3 linked regions of the Schizosaccharomyces pombe genome follow. The protein of the gene in region 1 purifies or fractionates together with the protein of each later gene. This does not show direct contact. Each region holds a gene or a part of one and is shown in the gene's direction. Other genes may lie near its edges.

Region 1 (8,785 bases):
AAGAGCTTGCAAAGCATTAAGATCTGGTTCAAACAGAAAATTAGACGAAGCCAGTGCGTAGCGAAAAGCTTGATGATAATCTACCTGAAGATATCTCTCGTCTTCACCAAGCGCCCATGTCTTTTGCACTTCAACAGGTGTAGCTAGTAATGCACTAGCATAGATTGCGTATAATAAACTAGTAAAAGCTGGTTTTCGCAAGTGCGGTTTTTCCCAAAAATCATTATATCGTACATAAAAAGTTGGTCTGTGTAAAACATTAATGAGCATATGACACCGAAAAAAGAACTGCTCAATTAAAATATCCGATACTTTTTTGGGGGGTAAATAGTCGTATGCAGATTCATTGGGGGATATTCGAAAAAAAAACGGACTAATCAGAGAATCGTTTTCTTCTTGAATATCTTGATCTAAGTTAAGATAATGATAATTCCTTAAATGCCAGAGTACGTGTGAAGAGGACGAGTAGTTAGCATATTGTGATTTTGTATCATCTAATACTGAAAGAGAACCAATGTTTCGCTGTGTCTCAGCATCTGCCGAAGGCGTGGAAGGAAGATTATGAGATTGTTGGTTTTCATAATCAGATTGCGATTTAGTGCCGACCTCATTTAAACGTTTTTCCAGCATGCTAACTCGGGATAGTAACTGATCTATCAATTCGTCAGCTTCGCTACCCCGTTCAAAGCGCTTGTCATAATTAGTTTTCCCAGGATCTATATAAATACATGACTGGATTGTTGATCGCTTTAAGCAATTGGAACAAGGTCTTCCATGATCACATTTAAGTTTTTTTCTTCGACAAGCCAAACACGAATGGATCGCCCTACGTGATGTCTGCCCTGATTTTTTAGAACCAGACTTGGTTGTTTCACTCATATGCTCTTCTTAAACATCAAGTTATATAATATTGTGAAAGATAAAGTACAATTGAATGCTAGATTCTTCTAATTCTTGAATCAATAGACGTCAAAAAAATGATACTTGCGACCAATTGACAGGAGCGAAAAGAAGTTAATTCCGTAATATATAAAAAAGTAGTCTTGGCTTTAAATAGGCAAGAATTATATCTTTAAATCTTATTGCTATACTGATTTTGAACCAAAGACACTTGTGTTTGGATGTTGGCGAAAAGTAAATTCGTAACACCAAACACAAGGCACACTGGACAACTTTTATAAATATCCACTAATTTCAATAGTAAGCAATCTCAACAGCAGACAGCTTTCGGATAACATGCGTTAGATACGTAAAGCACTCAAATAGAAACATATAATTTACACAGGGATTTAATGCATTTACTAACAAATTACCATTCTTAAATATGACTGATTTCTATTTCAAAATTCAATTGCCTGCCTTGCGACAAACTATCCATCAAATTTAGTACTTGCATTTTTTTCATTGATCACAATTTATACCCCGTATGTATAAAATCTTACTAAAAGGCATCTTAATTGTCTGAGTAAGAACTTTGGTTAAGGGTAGACGGTTGAGAGCATGCACTTATTTGAATCACTTTATGGCATTTTCTTTATAATAGTACAACATTGCAGAAGTGAATGACATCTAAAGCTACTGCTACTATGATTTTGCATTTGTCTTACTTTAACATTATCTACCATGCGTTTCCAACGAATCCTATTTTAAAGTGTAAAGTCAGTTAAATGTTAACTGTGTGTACCTTCCTTCCTTCGAACGATCGCATTTATTGTTGACAAACATTACTCAAACTTTCAAATGACTTTTATTCAAAAAATTTTAAAATTCTACCAAATATTTGTAGGACAGAGAAAGAAAAAAAAAATATATATGATTGTAGGTAAATCCTTAATTTAAAGAGGTTAAGTGCGTTCTAGTATCTGTATTTTCAAATAGTAAACATAAGTAACATGTGACCTGTTTAATTTAGCATTAAAATGGAAAAAGTATAGAGCAATTAGGGTGCCTTGTAAATAAAAAAATTGCAATTCAATCTATAATTTTTTTATTAGTATCATTTTGCTTATTTTTTGAGTCCGTACGAAAGTTACGTTTTGCCTTCCCAAATTGCCGCAATGGTAAATTTTCCGCGCACAATTTAATCAAGGCTATTATCACTGAAAAAATCTCAACTGCAAGAATTCTTTTTCCTTCGGCCAACACTTGCTACGCAAATTGAATTGCCATTTGAGGCAGATTTTTTTGTTTAAATTCGAAGAAAAAATCCCAATATTAAGTCATGTCTGAGAAACAAACTATCAAAGCCCTTCCTGCACACAATCCTACTCAGGTGAAAAAACTTGGTCCCGTTAGTGGATTTTTGTCAGGTGGTCTTGCAGCTTGTGGTGCTGTAACACTGACAAATCCTTTCGAAGTTATTAAAACGCGTTTTCAACTTCAAGGTCAATTGACAAAATTGGATCCTTCTAAGCGAATTTACAAAAGCGTCGGTCAGGCATTTTCTCTAATCGCTAGACATGAAGGTATAAGAGGTCTTCAACGAGGCCTTGGTACTGCTTATGTTTATCAAATCTGCCTCAATGGCTGTCGTCTCGGGTTTTACGAACCGATTCGACGTACTCTGAATACGTGGTTCCTTGATGATCCCAAGGGTAATAAATTAGCTATTAACGTTGCAAGTGGCGCCGGTTCAGGTTTATGTGGTGCCTTGTTTGGCTCTCCCTTTTTCTTGGTTAAGACTCGCATGCAGTCGTATTCTCCTAAATTTCCCGTTGGCCAGCAGTATGGTTACAAGCATATATTTAATGCATTCAGTCGTATTATTAAGGAAAATGGTGTTAAGGGTTTGTTTGTTGGTGCTGATGCTGCCATTCTCCGTACTGTCTCTGGTTCCTCTGTTCAGCTTCCTATCTATAATTGGGCTAAACGCATGATTGAGCATTACAATCTATTGGAAGAGGGTATGATCAAACACTTAACTGCTAGTGCTGTTTCTGGATTTGGTGTATGCTGCACCATGCAAATTTTCGATACTGTTATGACTCGTATGTACAACCAAAAGAACAAGGAGCTTTATAAAAATCCGATTGATTGCATCCTTAAAACAATCCGCTCTGAAGGATTCTTTGCCTTATATAAGGGTTTTGGTGCTCACTTGGCCAGAATCGCTCCTCACACAATTTTCTGTCTTACCTTCGTGGAGCAAACCAATAAACTCTTTTTGAAATTCCAAAAGGATTAAGTTGTTTTTTCAAACGCACGTTTCTTTATTTATAAATAATTTTGGTACTAAACCATAAAAACCCCCAGTGGCTTTGGTGTATATCAAGTGAACAGTTAAATTGTAAAGAAATGATGTTTGTATCTAAGAACGATTTTTATTTACATTCGTTGTCTCGTTACTTATTTCCACTCTACTTTCATTTAAAAGTCGATTTTTCTTTTCAAGCTGTTTTTGATCAATCGGCATGTTTTTGTCTTTTGTAATATATATCCGTCAGTTATCTCAATATATGTACGTATTTGTTTTTGGATTTCAGGCATCTGGCTGCGTTTGTATATCAACTTACCTTTTATTTAGTTATTAATATACTTATTTTCTCTATAATTAAAGATTGGAAACATTACCGCTTTGTGTAGTCACAATGGATAAATTTCTTCATTTTGCGTCGTTTTTATTTGAAATCTTTACATTTCGCCAACAGTTATATGTTTTTTAGATAAATCATGTTAGTTTAATAAAATATTTTCTGAACTTCTTATCGTAGTATTCGTGTTCACTAATTTGCTCGTTCCTGCTGACTCTAATAAACGGATCGGACACCTCTATTCAGTACAACATAATAAAATCTGAATATATCCGTTACATATAAAAATAATCTGTTTGTTTTTAAGGATCTATTAAAGGTTTAGTAAAAAAAAACCGCCTTACGGTTTAAACTGCTGTTTGGTAAATTCAGTTAAAAAAAAGAAAAAAAATGACAAGTAAGTTAAAATACCTTGCTACTCATCTGCTAATTTTTTAGTTCGTTCATTGAATTTGTTTATCATAGACAAAAAGCATCAACATAAATCTAGCTTGAGCAGTTTTCAAAACTGTAAGTTGGGTATTGACGCAAGTTTTTACTTGACTCAAATTATTCATTCCTTTACCCCACAGGAACTTCAAAGTTTGGCAGTAAATGGTGAATCCGAATATCTACAACACAGAATTTCGGAATTCCTTGAGCAGTTGAGAACTGAGAATATCACACCCATTTTTGTTTTCAATGGTATACCTCTTACCTTTGAAGCCAGCAGCCAGCTGGAAGTGCCGGGAAAGCAAAAAAGTCATAGTGCATTGACAGATTTCGAAGCTTTTGATCCTTATGATGCAAATATTCAGCGTAATATGTACCGCATGGACGCAAGTGGTCCTGCGAATTACGGCGAAAGTAAACCAACACTTTTGTACACCAATCAGCGAGATCATTTAGATCGTCTTTGCGACCAGGTAAAGTTTTACTTAGATCAATGTAATGTGGAGTATTTTGTCGCCCCGTATCTGGCTATGGCTCAATTAGCATATTTTCTAAACGGCACATCTTCACCTTACATCGATGCCATCTATGGTTCCACGGATCTGCTTCTTTTTGGTGTTAAAAAATTTATTACTTCTATGAACACATCTTCTAACGTTAAAATCTCATCTGACCCTTCATCCCCATCAACTCAAACAACTATCAATTCGGCCGCTAAAAGTTCATTCACATGGTTAGATGGAAATGCCCTTCTTCAAGACACGAACGGCCTTTCATGGCAGCAGTTCATCGATTCCTGTTTATTGTGTGGTACTGCTATTTCTCCTACATTTCCTCAGATTGAGGGTACTTTTCTAATTAAAAGCGCAATGGAGCTTGTTCGTATGTTTGGTTCTGCGTATCGTGCAGTCCTTCATTTTGCTGAAATCTTTCCCCAGCCCATTTTTCAAGATTATCTTCAACAGTACAAAAGGGCTGTTTGTTTCTCTAAGTTTGGAATTGTGATGGATACAAAAGGTCTCACTTTACCACCAGTTCCCACAGAATCTGTTCCTAACGACATAAATATATATTTTGGCACCCGTCTTCCCAACGAGATTTATTTTTACATTTCTCGCGGTCTTATTCCTTGCAAAATGATAGGTGCTTTAGTATCTGGATGTTTTAGTGATCCTGTTTCCATACTTGAACAACATATTGGTGACAAAGCATCACAAGGAACATTTTCTGGTGCTAATTCTGGTTTAAATCCTGGTCGCGACAATGCAGCAGCTGTAGCGGCTGTGGATCAACGGCGATTTGTTGACGATTTAGAAGAAATATGGTCGCAGGGGCTAAATTTATTGACCCAACCGCTTAACAGATTTTACCAAGCCAGAGATATTGTTTCCCTTCATGGCCATAATCAGCAAGCTTCTTTGAAGGTAATGCACAGCTATGATCCTCCTTTGTATAATGATACGAGAGCATGGATGATATACGAAGAAAACTTACCGAGTTATTTATCTAGTAATTTTTTAAAGGAAGAACCCGTTGTATTATTTGATCTACTACGTGCTTTGAACGATCCGGTATTTGTAAAGAAAAGCTTTTGCACTGAAGGTAATATTGGCATAAAAAACCCTCCCAAGCATCCTCTGTCTTCTACTGCGGAAATCGTCTTAAGTTCTTGCTACAGATTTTTGCAAATTAGATCTTTCGTTTTAACATCTCATCAATTAACATCTTGGGGATGCCCCTTGTTAAAAGCGTTGGAAAATTGTCACTTACAGAACCAAACTTCCGTTGTTGTTTTATTCGAGCTTCTTAGACTAAGACAATTAAAAGAGCCCTCTTTACTTTCCTCCTCAAGTGCAAGCATCGCCGATTTATCCATAACTTCTGCCACAGAGTTCTTGGCAAAGGTTGCAACATTTCTACCAATAAAACAGAGACCTGAAGTTAGTAAAATTTCTATAGTTGATGAGAATTTATTACAGTTTTATCAGCTACAAACTAGCTTCGGATCCAACTTGAAGGAACTCATGGCCATGATTCTTGCCTCGGTCATCTTGAACAGAAACGTCGACAAAAGCAAAATAGATCCTAAACTTATCCGAAAAACGTACGTGTTTTTTTCTCTTTCTCCTTTTTTGTTTATATTTAAAGTTTCTAACCAATTTAGCTTACCTTTTCAAAACATAAATGGTAGCCTTGTCTCAGGTTTTGTTGTCAAGCGCTTTTTTGAAATCATTTCAAAAGAGCAAGAAGCCAGTTCTCAACAGGAAAACATCCAGAAGGCTTATGAAATAATAGAAAAGGAATTCCCAACCATTGGATCTGCGGAAAACCATATTGCCCAGTTTTTGGAATTCTGGAAAACTTTTATGGAAGGGGTTAAGGAAGCAGAAAATACAAGTGCCATTGGCAAGCTCGTTTTAAGTAAACTCTTCCTTACTAACCAATGGATATTTTCTCTTGGCTTATGAAGACCAGAACTAGTAGTTTATGAATAGAAATAAATTAGTGAGAGAAGTATCCTTCTTTTAGCGGGAGCTTTTAACACATTCGGCACAGTCATAATGCACATTTACATGAATTACTTTCCCTCATACTGTCGAAGCATTTTCAACATGCTATACACTCATGTGATTACACTTGATTATTGTTGAGATATTATTTCGAACAAGTAAAGTATTGTTAATATTAATATTCAACTACATTGTTTCTTCCCGAAAAAAGGAAGGGAAAGAAAAATAGAGAAGCACAGCTTTGAATGAAAACCCAATGATGTTTAAACTTTTTTATAGATATAGTTTAATTTGTTCTAAAGGATACTATATTTATTTTTAGCAATACACTTACCTGTCAAAAAATAACTTATACCGTTGTTTTTACACTATAGTATGGGAATAATTTTTAACTTATTTGATAAGTTCAAGCGGATTTTTTAGATTTTAGTTTATGTGTACTGGCTCACTCACAAAAAACCGAATTCGCATCAGAAACATAATTTTACCTAATCAATTTCACGAATTAAAAACCTTGTGCTTACAGAAAGACTTGCTTAGTTTAACCACTTACAAGCTGGATAGTATAATTTTGTTTTAAGATATTTACTGTATAGATGCTGTTTACGACAACTTGCTAGCTTTGAGAATCTCCAATTCTCACACTAACATCTAATAATATTTGTCGATAGTTAACAAAATTCTGACAATGTCAGTTTTTAAATATAAACGGTAGTAGTTGAAGTAACTGACAGTTAATCAAAATCTCTGTAACTTATTGTTTACATTGCATATTGCGAGACTTGACACACTATTTAGAAAGTCTTAAGCAAGCGTAAGCCATTACTGTGGAGTTCATTAAGCTTAACTTTAATGAACTGCTATTAGTGTAGTCTCATTTTGTAAGGCGTAGCACAATGTCCCGTGTGGTTCAGCAAGCTACCATCAAATAATAGTTTGATTTTCCATTTGGTGTGAATCTAGCAACAACCAACATTATTTGTTCAGATGCACTTATGAAGTCTAGTGGTATCGCAGGCGATTCCAATGGATTTGAAACAAATTTTCTAAATGAAACGACTAATCGAGAAGAAGATGGTGCATTTAATTGGAACGCTGCAGATGATGGCACTAACGAACGAAGAGAGGATATTCATGTACGATTTCAGGATAGCGCTCTTCCATTAGGAATTGATGAAAATGAGCTTGATGAAATTGATATAAATGGGGACAGCAAAAAATTGGATTCTGTTGAAGTTGACGAATCACACGATGTTAATTCGCCATCAGATAGCAGACTGAAATCATCTTTCAAGTCGGTATTAGAACTGACAGCTAATTCTATGGTTTCAGTGTTAACTCCATCTACCAAAACTGAGCAGACCTCGAAAGGAAAGGGAAAAAAGAAGAAAGCACATGTTTCCTTCCTAGAGGGACCTGTGGAAGAAATCCCATTAGATGATATTGAGCCTACTTCTCCTCGTGAGGCATCACCTGTGTTCAATGGGCGTCCTCCAATTCCTCCGGAATTTTTAAAGTCGCGGCATAAAGAGTTTACAATACCAAATCCTTTGCAGTTCATTTCCAATTTCTTATCCAACTTGTTTTCGCGTGATACACGGTATTTGAAGTCGAGTCATGGTCGAATAATTATCATAAACCCTTACGATGACTCCTCCCAAATTGATGAGCGTACAGGAAAGCCCTATATGCAAAACAGCATTGTTTCGTCTCGGTACAACAAATACAATTTTGTCCCTTTACAGATCATTGCTCAATTTTCAAAAACTGCCAACTGTTATTTTTTGCTGATTGCTATTATGCAAATGATTCCAGGTTGGTCAACCACCGGTACTTACACTACAATCATCCCTCTACTTATATTTATTTCAATTGCAATCCTTCGTGAAGGGTTTGATAATTATCGGCGATATCGCCAAGACCGCGTAGAAAATAGAATTCAAACTCAAGTTCTTCGTCACGTTGATGTAGATCCGCCTATTGTTGAAGAGCACTCATCTTTTTTTCGTCGTCGGCGGTGGAGAAGAAGTAGATCTCAAGAATCTGCTTCAAGGAGTACTATTCGATCAACTGATGAAAGAGAACCTGAAAGAACCTCAGAAGATCCACCTCAACTTCCTCCCTCTCCCTCTTCCCCCTCTTCTCCGGCGTTAAGTGTCAAACCTAACATTGACCCGCAACCCCCCTTGTATAACTCTACTTTAACTACTACTCGCTCCATACCTGCAAATAAGCCTACTTTTTTTTGGGCTAGCTGTGATCGGAAAGATGTTCGAGTTGGTGATATTATTCGACTGACAAGTGATCAAACTC
Region 2 (5,484 bases), 1.2 Mb from region 1:
GTAACATTACCCCTACTTTGAATTCCCCTAATAACGGCATTCATTGTCATTCTACTTCTGCCCTAGACTTATTGTTTCATCGCGATCGTGAACAGCGCTTGTTCCGTATGCTGCGTCAAGGAAGTGCATAGTTTCATTGGATGCTTATTTATGTCTAAGGACATATCACCTTTTTAAGCCTCGTGTTCTGTTCTAACTATTCCACTTTTTTGTTTCACCTTCTTTCGTCTCCGCGTTTATCTACACGTGTTCGTTGTAGCACTATTTATTTGAACATTGGCCAAGAGAATTTATCATAGTCTAGTATTTTTGCTAGTATTATGACTTTCTTACTATCACCCTATGTACCTCTGTCTTTCTGTTTTTTTGGATTATAGAATTTAGCTCTCTATATGGGTTAATTTTGTTTCCTTCGCTTTTGGTTTTTAGAGGATTTCATACAAAAGCTACTGAATTCCTTTTCTAACGGCTTATAGTTAAAAGAAATGCCAACGTTTTTAATGGATTTCTTGGATTTGAAATCTTGATTTTTATTGACTAGATTTCCTTAACTTCATCTTATTCCTTGTTAGTTAATTGAGCGAGCAATTCATTTATAATATGGAAATGTTCGTCAATGACTATTTATCGAAAATGTGCCTCGTTTACTTTTCGATTTGTATGCTTAGAATGGGCATTTGTTACCTTTTTTATGAGCGTTGGGTGTTATGATCTGCATATTGCATTAATTTTATTCTGGCTAGTTTTTATTATGCTATTAATAATCTCGTTGTGCTTTTATCGAGATTTGTTTGAAACTTGTTTCACCGGTCTCGTACATTTTTTTCTCTTGTGTTTTTTTCTTTTAATTTTCCTAATTATTACTGACGTGTTGCCTATTGCTTTGCGATGACAGTACATCTTATTTTCCTGTGTCGAGGATTATAGTTATAATCTTCTTTTCCTCTCATGAACTTGGCTTTGGTTGCCAACCTTTTAAACTTTCGTCCATGATATACATGATGTTTGCTAATATAAGTGATATTTATGTGGTCACCTTTTTTGGCGAATGTTGTAACCTATCTTCTACGCTCAAGGAGTACATGCAATGTGCTTTATGCTTTTTTTTTTTTGAATGTTTGCAATTTTCAAGCCCTCGGTTTTTGAGCTTTCATTGCTAGTCAAGATAGTCAACTTATCGTTGATTATAATATCTTTCACTCGCAAATCGTTTTTACGTAAAGACTGAATTACGGCAACATTTATTGCTCTTATTTGTAAATAGTTTTGGAATCATTTCTTTTTAAAACTTTAAATTTATCTCTTTCCTTCATTGTTTACAAATAATGTTGCATTAAGTGGTGATTTAGTTTTTCTAATATAAACACATATTTCCGTCACTGATGTGTCGCGTTTGTGTATTTATCCACCTGATATGTGCAACAGTATTAGAAGGCACGGTTTTTCTGTGTGTTGACGATACCTGTTTACACATTCCTTTTAATCCACTTCCTTTACTTCTTTTCCGTTTTTTTTTTATTTTTATTTTTATTTTTTTTTTTTTTGCTGAAGATGGACTTATATTACCTGCATTTTTTTAGTTAATATAGAATTCATTGAAAACAAATTTTCGGCGTGTGTAGATTTTTTATAATTTTTTTGTTGATTTAGATAAGTCATTGTTTTGTTCAGCTCAATGCGCGAGTGATATGTTTGGTTTTACACTTGTTGGTTTAAGCGGATCGTAAGTTCGTAAATATGCGTTATCTTGTTTAAGCAAGGTAGGTTAGATCTGATAGTTATTTGTAGCTACCACCAAAAGCAAATTTCTCAAGCCATTATTTTTTGTCGAAACCCAATATCTGGTAGACTAGCTTTTTCATCATTCATGCCTACTTATTCCAAAAGGAAGTCTAGAGGCTCTTTAGAGGTTTCTGAGAAAACCAATCAACCCAAATTCATAAAGAGAAGTCAATCGAGTGAAACAATAACGTCAGGTGAAACTGCTAGTGAATTGATGCAAGATGAAAAGGAGCAGAGTAATGGTGCAGTAGGTTCTATTGAAGATGAAGAATTACAACGACTTCGTGAGAATCAAGCTTCTGTTGAAGCTCTTTCGAAAAAGCCAGAGTCTATCGATCGAGAGTTGGGTGTTGAGGCTTTAGAAATAGATAATGTAGTAAAGTCAGATGAAGAAAAGGAGGATCCCAATGGTGCTTCTTCCAAAACCGTCAAAGCTCGTCCACTTCCTGCAGGGTCGGTTCATCGTGTTACTACCCATATGGCGCCAATACCAGCGAGGTCAATTGGTTCTCATGATACTACAACACAGCGTTTGATTGTCGTATTGGACCAAGCATGTTTGGAAATTTATAAAGTTGGCAAGGCTAAGGATGCAAAATATCAACTTCTAAATTGCGATGATCATCAAGGTATTTTAAAAAAGTTAAACCGTAACATTGCTCAAGCGCGTCCTGATATTACTCATCAATGCTTATTGACTCTTTTGGATTCTCCACTGAATAAGGCAGGTCGTCTTCAAGTGTACATTCACACAGCTAAGAAAGTTTTGATTGAAGTGAATCCCTCTGTTCGTATTCCTAGAACTTTCAAACGTTTTTCCGGTTTGATGGTGCAGCTTCTTCACAAGCTCTCTATTCGTAGTGTGAATGGCAATGAAAAGCTTCTAAAGGTGATCAAAAATCCAGTTACAGACTACCTTCCTCCGAACTGTCGAAAGGCAACATTATCTTTTGATGCTCCTACTGTTCCTCCTCGCAAGTATCTTGAGACTTTACAGCCCAACCAATCGGTTTGTATTGCAATTGGTGCTATGGCTCATGGTCCGGACGATTTTTCGGATGGTTGGGTTGACGAAAAAATCAGTATTAGTGACTACCCTCTGAGTGCAAGTATTGCTTGCTCTAAATTTCTTCATTCTATGGAAGACTTTCTAGGAATTGTATAATTATTAAGGTAAAAATTTTTGCATTGTCTTCATTGTTATTCAGCTTATATCCTGTGCTATAGATATTCACTTTTTGATATAGCTTGAATTTTTTGGTACGTTTCGTACTTTACATTTTCTTTAGAGAGTATTAGAATAAAATAACAACTATAATTCTAGCTTCTGCAATTACAAAAAGAAAGGAAACAATTTATCACACTACAAGGCATTGAATTAAACCATTCCATACACTTTTAAAGTTTGGGAATTACAACCTAAGACAAACTCTTAATACTCACCGATAAAATAATTCGGTAATATTGAATGACTCACAACACTATGAAGCTCAATATGAGAAATAGATGGATATTTGCTTAGAATTAGACAGATGATTAAACCAAATTATTCATAAATAAGCAATCCATTCGTTAAAAATTCCAAAACCTAAGTACATTCATACTAAATAGAGAAAATGATAAATAACAAAAAAGGTACAACTAAATGAAAGAAACGAAATAACAACCAGTAAATCACAAACACAACAAACTGAAAACAGTTCCTCAATTATGTTAGGAGCAATTTAAGGAAATTATCGTTTTCTCTCATTCCTCCACTTGTATACCGGTTTTCCGTTTACGACCTTCTTTTTCTGACGGCCTCCTTTTCCCTGTAAAAGTCTATCAAGCTCGACACGTTCTTCAGCAGCCGCCAATTTTTTGTCGCGTTTCTGGCGCAAAAGAAGCTCGGTCGCCGCCTTTTCTTTTAATTTTGAGTGCAATTTTCCAGAAAAAGGCTGGTTTGTCAGTTCATTGTTTTCAATTTGATCTTTCTTTACACGATTTTCGGTTCGACCAACCAGATCATCTGTAGTTTGGAAAAATTCAGCTGGGTTAAAACTTTTTGCCTCTTTAACATTGTCTACGAAGATGGTGTGCTTCCTGGATTCATTTTTATTCCGATGAGCTCCCACAGTATGCATTTGTTGTTCCAAATGATCAATTTTAGCACGTTCAACATTGCGATGATGCCGAATCCAGCCAATGTCTTGAGTTTTCAAAATTTTGATTGTGTCCATATCGATGGTTGAATCCTCGCGCTGTTCAAGGGGTACTCCATTTTTGGTCTTTTTGTGTGTCATTTCATGATAAAACTCATCAGGGTTTCTTTCAAGGGCTTTTTCACGAAGACGTTTTAACTTCTTTTGCTTTGTCTTATAATCCTGAGCACGCTGCGCATAATCCTTTCGTTTCTCTAGCAAACCCCATTTTCGTCTTTCAAAAGGCTGAGCTCTTTCTCGATGATTTTTCCTTTGACCTGCATTTTTAAAAGACGAAGACATCTTTAAAAAAGTTATGGTTAATGTTTGGCTGTTTGTCAAAGAACCGAATTATTGGCTTTTAGCAGATTCGCCTCTGCAAAATATTTGTGTTTAGGGCACTACAAGTGTTAGCGTGCAATGTGCTCAGGACGTTAAGATACGCTATTACCCCCTTGGCTAGTGCTTGTATTGTTTACGATTTGAAGTTATACTGTTAATACTCTATAGATATAATCAAATTTTTTAGAAAGAGTCTTTGGCTGAATGGTGGCTTGTTAGCTTTCTAGTAGAATTGGAAAGTTTACTGTTAATGTGCAGCCCATATCTATCAGTTTAGCAATACTTATTATTAAAAAATAATTGTCTTAACTTCTCTATAAAACTTTTTATTCATTGATTTATTCTGCTCAAAAGGAACGGAAGCCTCAAGATAATTTATTAATTACTGAAAAATAAAAAATAAGGAAAGTAAGAGCAACGCATTAGGACTAATCGCTATGCTGTCGTTAACATTAACTGTCATCGATATCTCACTACATTACACATTACTTAAGTTTAATGTCCTTAATCTTATCCATTACGATGCCGTCGTTCCCAATGTATGTGCTTGTGGTTGACATAACTCAATTGAACAAAAAGTGCATCTCTTTGTTCTGTAATTCCACTGAATTGGTAAATAATGTTAAGCATTGTTATACCGATTATCCTTCAGTATGGCTTTATTTTAAAAAAAGATTTTGTTAAATAGTCATCGTAGTTTACTGTATCCTCAAAGCAGTTATAGATGCTGTAGCTGACGGCAAGTTGTCTTTACACACTTCCCACAATGAAAAGGGAATAGATCAAAGAAGAGAAAAAGCTGTTACTGGTGAGTGTAAAACGCTTGGCACAACCGAGAGTTTCATAGCAAGTATATTAGATTTTTGTTATTCGATTCAGAAGATTTAATTCATTAAACATTTGTACTTTGATTTTTTCTTAATTTACCCTTAATGCTTGTACAATATAGAATATTGACTGCAGCCTAGCAAAAACTAGGGAACTAATATTTACATGTAATATGCGTTATTAAATGTGTATTTTTTTTTTTTTTTTTTTTATGGGAAATATAATTAAATTCGAACTGATATTAAATATTATTTTTAAATTTAAAAAAAAAAAAAAAGGATCTATAATATTAAAATTAATCCTAACTTGCTGGTACTTGAACGAACTCTTTATAAAATGACTGTTTAGCAAA
Region 3 (6,900 bases), on another chromosome or scaffold:
CGTTCAGACTATGCGGATGCAGTGTATTGTTCAATGGGTATTGATGCTTTAGAGGAATGGCGCACAAATCCACTTTTTAAAGAGCAATTTTATGGATCAGGACTTATGTTTGTTGGCCGTGACAATGTTGAGTATCGGGACATGAGTCTGGAAAACCTGACAAAAATGGGTGTGTCAGCAGCAAAGTTTCAAACTACAGAAGAATTGCGGAAACTTTTTCCAAAATGGATTGGCGAGCTGAATGATGGAGAAGCTGGGTATGCCAATTTTAGTTCTGGATGGGCCAACGCTGAGCAGTCTGTGAAATCCGTAGTTAATTACTTAGCACATGCCGGTGTTTCTTTCATTAGCGGACCTGAGGGAACTGTTGAAGAGCTTATAACAGAAGAAAACGTTGTTAAAGGCGTGAGGACTACTACTGGAGCTTACATGGCCGAAAAACTTATTTTTGCTACAGGTGCATGGACTGCATCTCTTTTACCTAATGACCACACACGATTCTTGGCAACCGGTCAACCAGTCGCATACATAAAATTGACTCCTGAGGAGTACATCCGCTTTTTGACAAATCCTGTATACTTAGATTTTGATACTGGATTTTATATTTTTCCCCCTACCCCCGATGGTTATCTAAAATTTGCACGCCATGGATACGGATTTACGAGAATGCAAAATCTTAAATCCGGAAAAGTCGAATCTGTTCCACCAAAGAAACCTCTCGTTTCTCCTATCCTGCCCAAGGAAGCGGAATTAGATTTACGCAGAAACCTTCAACGTACTTATGGCGAAGAAATTAGTCAAAGGCCATTTTACAAAACCCGTATTTGTTATTATACCGACACAGCCGATGCCGAGTTTGTATTTGATTATCATCCAGATTATGAAAATCTGTTTGTATGCACAGGTGGTTCAGGCCATGGATTCAAATTCTTTCCAATCCTCGGGAAGTATAGCATAGGGTGTATGTTTCGTGAGTTAGAGGAGCCCTTATTGAAGAAGTGGAGATGGAAGAAAGAAAATTTGGAGTTTGCTGCTTTAGACCACAGCCGAGCTGGACCCTCTCGACAAGAGCTAAGCTAAGATGTGCAATGCTAAACAAAAGAAAGGCTAGCGTCTATCTTTCTAGGCTACCTTATTTTTGTGTTGAATACTAATTGATTCTTCTTCATTCGAAATATTACGAGCATTGAATGTATACACATTAACAATTAACATCAACTTTATAACATCCAGACGATTATGTCGGTTTACTGTTTTCGAATAAAAACAGGGACATTTTCTATACCCTTTACATCGAACTTTATGTCCTGAATTAATATTACAAAGCATGCTAAGTAAAACCTTTTTTTCAATTATTTTAGATATGCATCATATAGCTAACTCGTTGGCTTTAAGAGAACTAAAGCGTCACAGCTTACTGAGGTTGTTTTTGATACTTAGATGCAATTCAAACATTTATAAATAATTAAATTTGACAATCTAATTAGAAATAACATAAAAAAAAAAATCAAAATAGAATAAAATGATCAAGAAGCTTTTTGTTTAAATGCAAATACCGTACTCGCTTTTATTCGTTGTATCGGTTAAACGACGTTTTACTGTTACGTTATCTGCCAATCTCGGATTTACGTAGCATCAAGTACGCATATCTTACCGCAATATTTAGAGGCGACTTAGTTTGTTAATATATTATATTTTTACACTAGTTATTGGAATGTTAACATTTTGAAGAGCAAGATCGTTTTATTTTCAAAAAGATTTTGCTGGATTCGTTGTTACGATTGACGTTCTAATCAACCCAACTTGAGTGTATGTTCATCAGGATCGGTATTTCCGTTTTCACTAGCGTTTTAGCCAGTATCCTGAATTTTTACCAGTTATAAATTGTATGAGGTTGAGAGTTTCTTATCCCTTTGCAACGTGTTTGTTTTTATCATTAGGAGTAGCGGTTTTTGAGACCTGAAAAGTGTGTTTGCTGTTTTTGCACATTTGTTCAAGTTCATGAGAGCTAACTACATTGTTTCAATATGTTACACATGAATAGTGCCAGTAGTGCTGACAGCATGGAAATTATGGAAAGTCATTTTGACCCGACACAACAGAATGATAGCACTATAATAGAAAGTCGTTACTCTCCGGAAGAATATCTGGAGCAGTCATTCGAGATACAAAGGATTATATCAGGAGAAAATAGTGAACCCCAAACTGTAGCGTCGCAAGAAATTAGCGATTCTCAAGAAGAAGACACTACATTAACATCGTCTCAATTTGAGGATTGTGGGACTGAATATAATGAAGTAGTGGAAGATGATGAGTTTCGCTCTGAAGATGAGGATGATTTTATGGACGAAGAGGAAGAATACGCTTTATATGAGGCAGAATTGAGTTCTTCCCCATCTATTCACGAAGAGGTTATTGATTGCAACTTTGTTCATGCCATTCGAGGCTTCGAAGCTACTGTTGAAGGACAAGTTGATGCTACTAAAGGAGACATGATGATTTTATTAGATGATTCTAATAGTTATTGGTGGCTTGTAAAAATGTGCAAAAATTTGGCTATAGGCTATTTACCTGCTGAATACATTGAAACTCCTTCAGAGCGTTTGGCTCGATTAAATAAATATAAAAATTCGGAAACGTCCAATTCTCAGCAGTCTGTGACTCTCCCGCCTTTAGATATTGTGGAAAAAACCTTGGAGGCTCCATCCCCAAATTTTCGTATAAAACGCGTTACCTTTACTTGTTCTTCTAATTCTTCCGATGATGAAATGGATTCTGAAAATGATTATGAGGCAATGGTAAACCGAACTGTCGCAGAGAATGGTCTTGAAATAGAATTTTCGGACAGTAGTGATTCTTCTCTCTCTGCTGAGTACCGTTCCGAATCCGAGGATCATGTAACTGATAGTCCTGCTTACGTGGATCTTACTGAACTGGAAGGTGGGTTTAACCAGTTTAACTCTACTTCTTTTCAAAGTACATCCCCCCTTGGTCTTGAGATTGTTGAAACAGAAATTAATGGCTCTTCCACTACTGCAGATTCGAAAAATTCACATTCCCCCTACTCTAAATTCTCATCAGCTTACCCAGATGCTGAAAATTCGAATATTAGTAAAATAAATATCTCAATAGCAGGAAACAAGGAATTATATGGCAATGCCACCCAGTCTGATCCTTCACTTTACAGTACTTGGATAGCAAATAAGCATAAAACTGCTTCATCTGCAACCGTTGATTCTCCATTGCGAAGATCACTATCAGTTGACGCAATGCAATCGAATGCTTCATTTTCTTCTTATTCGTCTACATCTAATACTGATAAATCATTGCGGCCTTCTTCTTATTCCGCCGTATCGGAATCCTCTAACTTTACTCATGATGTATCTCGTGATAACAAGGAAATCTCATTGAATGCACCAAAATCAATTATAGTTTCTCAGAGTGACTCTTTTGACACATCTAATGTTACTCAGGATGCCCCAAACGATGTAGAAAAGGAACCAATTTCTGGTCAAATGCCCAATAATTTATCAGTTCAATCCTTAAAACAATTAGAAGTGTACCCTATTCGACATTCGGTATCGATTGAAATGCCATCTGAAAAGCTTCTTTCCCCTCGATTATACTCTTCATCTACTCCATCCTCTCCAACAAAAGGATTCCAAAAGGATGACGAAGAAGACAGCGAAAACCGAAAGCAAGCAGATAAGGTTGAATTATCACCAAGTTCGCTTCTTCGTCAGATGTCTTTACCTGTTGATTCTTCCTCGCAAAGTGATGCACAGTGCACAACGTCTTCTGTATACATAACAGCGGAGCGTAAAGCATTTTCTCAATCTTCAATAGATTTATCAACATTGAGTAACCATCATGTAAATAACGAAATAAACAGAAGAAGTTTTGCGGGTGGATTTACAAGTTTAGCAGATGAATTAAGCGAAATGCGTGAGCTACTACACGAATCCCCGGCTCCATTGGAGTGTAATGAGGAAATGGTTATACCTACACCTGAGTTAGATGCTTCAAGTGCAATCCCGAGCTCTTCGATTTCACACGATGAGGATTTGCTACCAAGAAAGAACACAGAGGAATCTACCTCTTCTAGTTCCTTTTCCTCTCTTATCACTTCTCCTGCTTCTTTGCAATATGATGAAAATCCATTCAAGCAATCTGTGGTTGCGGAATTAAATAATAACTCCTCTTCGGTGCCATTCGTTGATTCGGCTCATGCTTCTGATATCCATGCGTACGATAACGACCACGTTAGTACTAAAAACAAAGAATTTAATCGTCGGTTGAGAGAGTTTATATTGGATCCAGACTCTCTTAGCGGGCTATATTGGAGTGTAAAATCAGCGGGAGTAAGGGCATCCCGCCGAGTTTCTCGTAATATCGAGGGTGAATCGGTGTCCTCGGACTTGGATGATATTTTTGCTAACGTATTGAAGGGTTTATCAGATGAGATGGCCTCCCTCTTAAATACGAATCGCTGAAATCTTTGATTAATTTAAAAGTTATACCATGTTTTTCCCCTTTATCAAACTATTTACACTCGTTATAAATCAGTTTTCTGTTTGATTAAACTGTTTCAAAAATTTGTTTGTTAATGTCTTTATGTTTGACTTTTTTTTCTTGTTAATAATATTTTTTAATAACTAACAGCATACCATAGTTGTATAAAGGTCTAAAATTCAATGTGCGGGTATGATTCGGATTATTGAGCGCTATAAAATAAATGTGTTTAAGTAAAATCTACCGAAGTATTAAATGAGCTAGTAATTATCTTATATGCCATTTCAAATTATAGTATCGCTGCATCATATTTTTTGTACAGTAATGCGAGCAGTGAAAATGTAAACTACTCAAGCAGATAGTAGTAGGCTTTGAGGGTATGATAGATTTTATGCATCCGTAAAAATAAGCCAGTGTACTTTACTTATGTGGCATGATGAATCAAATTCAATAGGGTATTAAAAAACAAAATTAGCACGATTTATAGCGATTCTTATTAAAAAATATTTCTCTTCTCTTTTAAACGAAAAAAATGAGATATTAACAAACGATGAACATGTTCATTAATCATTAATATGAGAATATCATCTGCTTCTACTTTTAAGGTATCGGATTCATCATCAAACCAACGGTGTATTTAAATGTATATTTTGTAAGCGATAGGCATATTGATTGTCTCATAATAAATAATTTATGTTTTTTCACTGGTAATTTTCACGCTAAATTAGATGATAATTAGCATCTTGACTACCAATTTCTCACCATCATCATAATTGAAGGGCGAAATTTTCAAATTTGACTTTTAATATTCTTTTAGTAATTGCACGAAGATATGTAAAGGAACATGGAAAAGTAAGAATGAACAATAAAATTTTTATTCCTTTACAAATTTACGACTTGTTATTAATTGGAAAGACAAAGCAATGTTATTTCTGTAACGAATTGAGTTTGTAGGAAGAAACAAAGTTCCTAAAAAGTATGCAAATATCTTCAATATGCGCTAAATAAAGAAAACAGTTCGTACAGTAAACAAAGTCAATAATTCGAAGCGACTAAATAACGAAAAATTTAGAATGAGACGGATATGAAATGCATTTTGAATTGACCCGTTTTCATTTGTACAACCACCATACATGATTATTCTCAACATTGTTTTTTATGAATGCGAAATAAGAAGTATTAGTTTAAAACATCAAGTAATTTTTTAACACGCCACCACGAGTGGACAATGTGAAGTTTACAACTTGTGCTAATTTTTTTGACTACTCAAAAAATTAAATATGCAGCACAAAACGAGAACTGAATTATATGCAAACCCTTATACACTGAGCCTTAAAATTCATGATTTTTTACTTGCAACAGAAAGTAATAAGTAGCTTAAAAAATTAGAGGAAATCTGTTAATCGTTACAGTGGATTCTCACATTAGACAATAACTACATTATTACGATAACAAATCATCGTTCTAAATCACAATATTTTATTATGCTGTTCATTATTTTGTAAACATTAATTTTGTTTGTATTAAAGTAAACCACTAAACCAAAGGAAAAAAATGATAATTAAGTTTGATTCATTAAGAATCAAGATGAAGAAGAAATGAATGCAATAAACGACAATGAAATTGTGAATTTAACAAGGCGAAACAACGAGTTTTTCGATTTCATTAGTTGATGATAACAGTCAATTAGTGAACTGCTATTTTAAAACGAATAAATAAAACCATTATTATAATATTCAATGCCCAGTGTATGTTATTCACGGAACCTTTCAAGCAATGCACTTGCTCATCCAATTCGTCAGGAAATGAAATATGCAATAAAAATACATGTGACATACTTTAAACAGATTTATGATTTGTTTGAGTAAATCACAATCATAAAGGCGCTTCTTTATTGCACATTCTTATGAAGAAAAGAAGCCTCGTGTAAAAAGCGACTTTATCATACAATTAGTAAAGTTAACAATATAATTAGGCTTCACTTTCGGGGTTCATCTCACGCAATGGAACAGCTGTGTATTCATTCACTTGCTGTTTGGCCTCATAACCTAATGATAATTAGCATACACAATTAAAAAGATATCATATTAAATTTACCCATCTTTCTGATCAAGTGTTGGATATGCCAACTGTAAACAATGATCACATCCAAGTTATTTTACAGCACTGGCAAGTTTCAACTTTCAATTGAGTAATTCCTTTCTTATTATTTACAATTCTTACCTGAATATGGAGGCAATGTACTTTCCTCCTCTGAATCATATTCTGGGAGGGGTCCTTTTTCCAAATCGATTTCATGATCTGTCTTCAATTCATCTTCTTCATCTAGAGGACTTTTCAAAGAAGTGTAATTATTCTTCATAATAATAAAATCATTCTTTATTTAAT

The links. The genes of interacting proteins can lie anywhere in the genome.
Region 2: the proteins of mkt1 (region 1) and mra1 purify together in Schizosaccharomyces pombe (affinity purification with mass spectrometry, with the first as the bait; one study listed by BioGRID). This does not show direct contact.
Region 3: the proteins of mkt1 (region 1) and tea4 purify together in Schizosaccharomyces pombe (affinity purification with mass spectrometry, with the first as the bait; one study listed by BioGRID). This does not show direct contact.

The regions. Positions count from the first base shown.
Region 1 is NC_003424.3:1,014,011-1,022,795, reverse strand, and holds mkt1 (post-transcriptional RNA stability regulator Mkt1), read left to right. Parts: upstream 1-3,742; 5' UTR 3,743-3,920; coding exon 3,921-3,927; exon of another isoform or gene 3,928-3,968; coding exon 3,969-6,066; intron 6,067-6,126; coding exon 6,127-6,430; 3' UTR 6,431-6,693; downstream 6,694-8,785. Other genes in the region: protein toe2, read right to left, coding at 1-879; oac1 (anion transporter), read left to right, coding at 2,222-3,184; dnf1 (P-type ATPase), read left to right, coding at 7,468-8,785.
Region 2 is NC_003424.3:2,227,796-2,233,279, reverse strand, and holds mra1 (rRNA (pseudouridine) methyltransferase Mra1), read left to right. Parts: upstream 1-1,826; 5' UTR 1,827-1,867; coding exon 1,868-2,947; 3' UTR 2,948-3,317; downstream 3,318-5,484. Other genes in the region: protein Edc1, read left to right, coding at 1-131; U3 snoRNP-associated protein Utp11, read right to left, coding at 3,516-4,265. UniProt on the Schizosaccharomyces pombe protein: S-adenosyl-L-methionine-dependent pseudouridine N(1)-methyltransferase that methylates the pseudouridine corresponding to position 1189 (Psi1189) in S.cerevisiae 18S rRNA.
Region 3 is NC_003423.3:586,702-593,601, forward strand, and holds tea4 (tip elongation aberrant protein Tea4), read left to right. Parts: upstream 1-1,657; 5' UTR 1,658-2,027; coding exon 2,028-4,493; 3' UTR 4,494-4,733; downstream 4,734-6,900. Other genes in the region: fap1 (L-pipecolate oxidase), read left to right, coding at 1-1,080. UniProt on the Schizosaccharomyces pombe protein: Cell polarity factor essential for the bipolar localization and function of structures containing the cell-end marker tea1 during the normal cell cycle.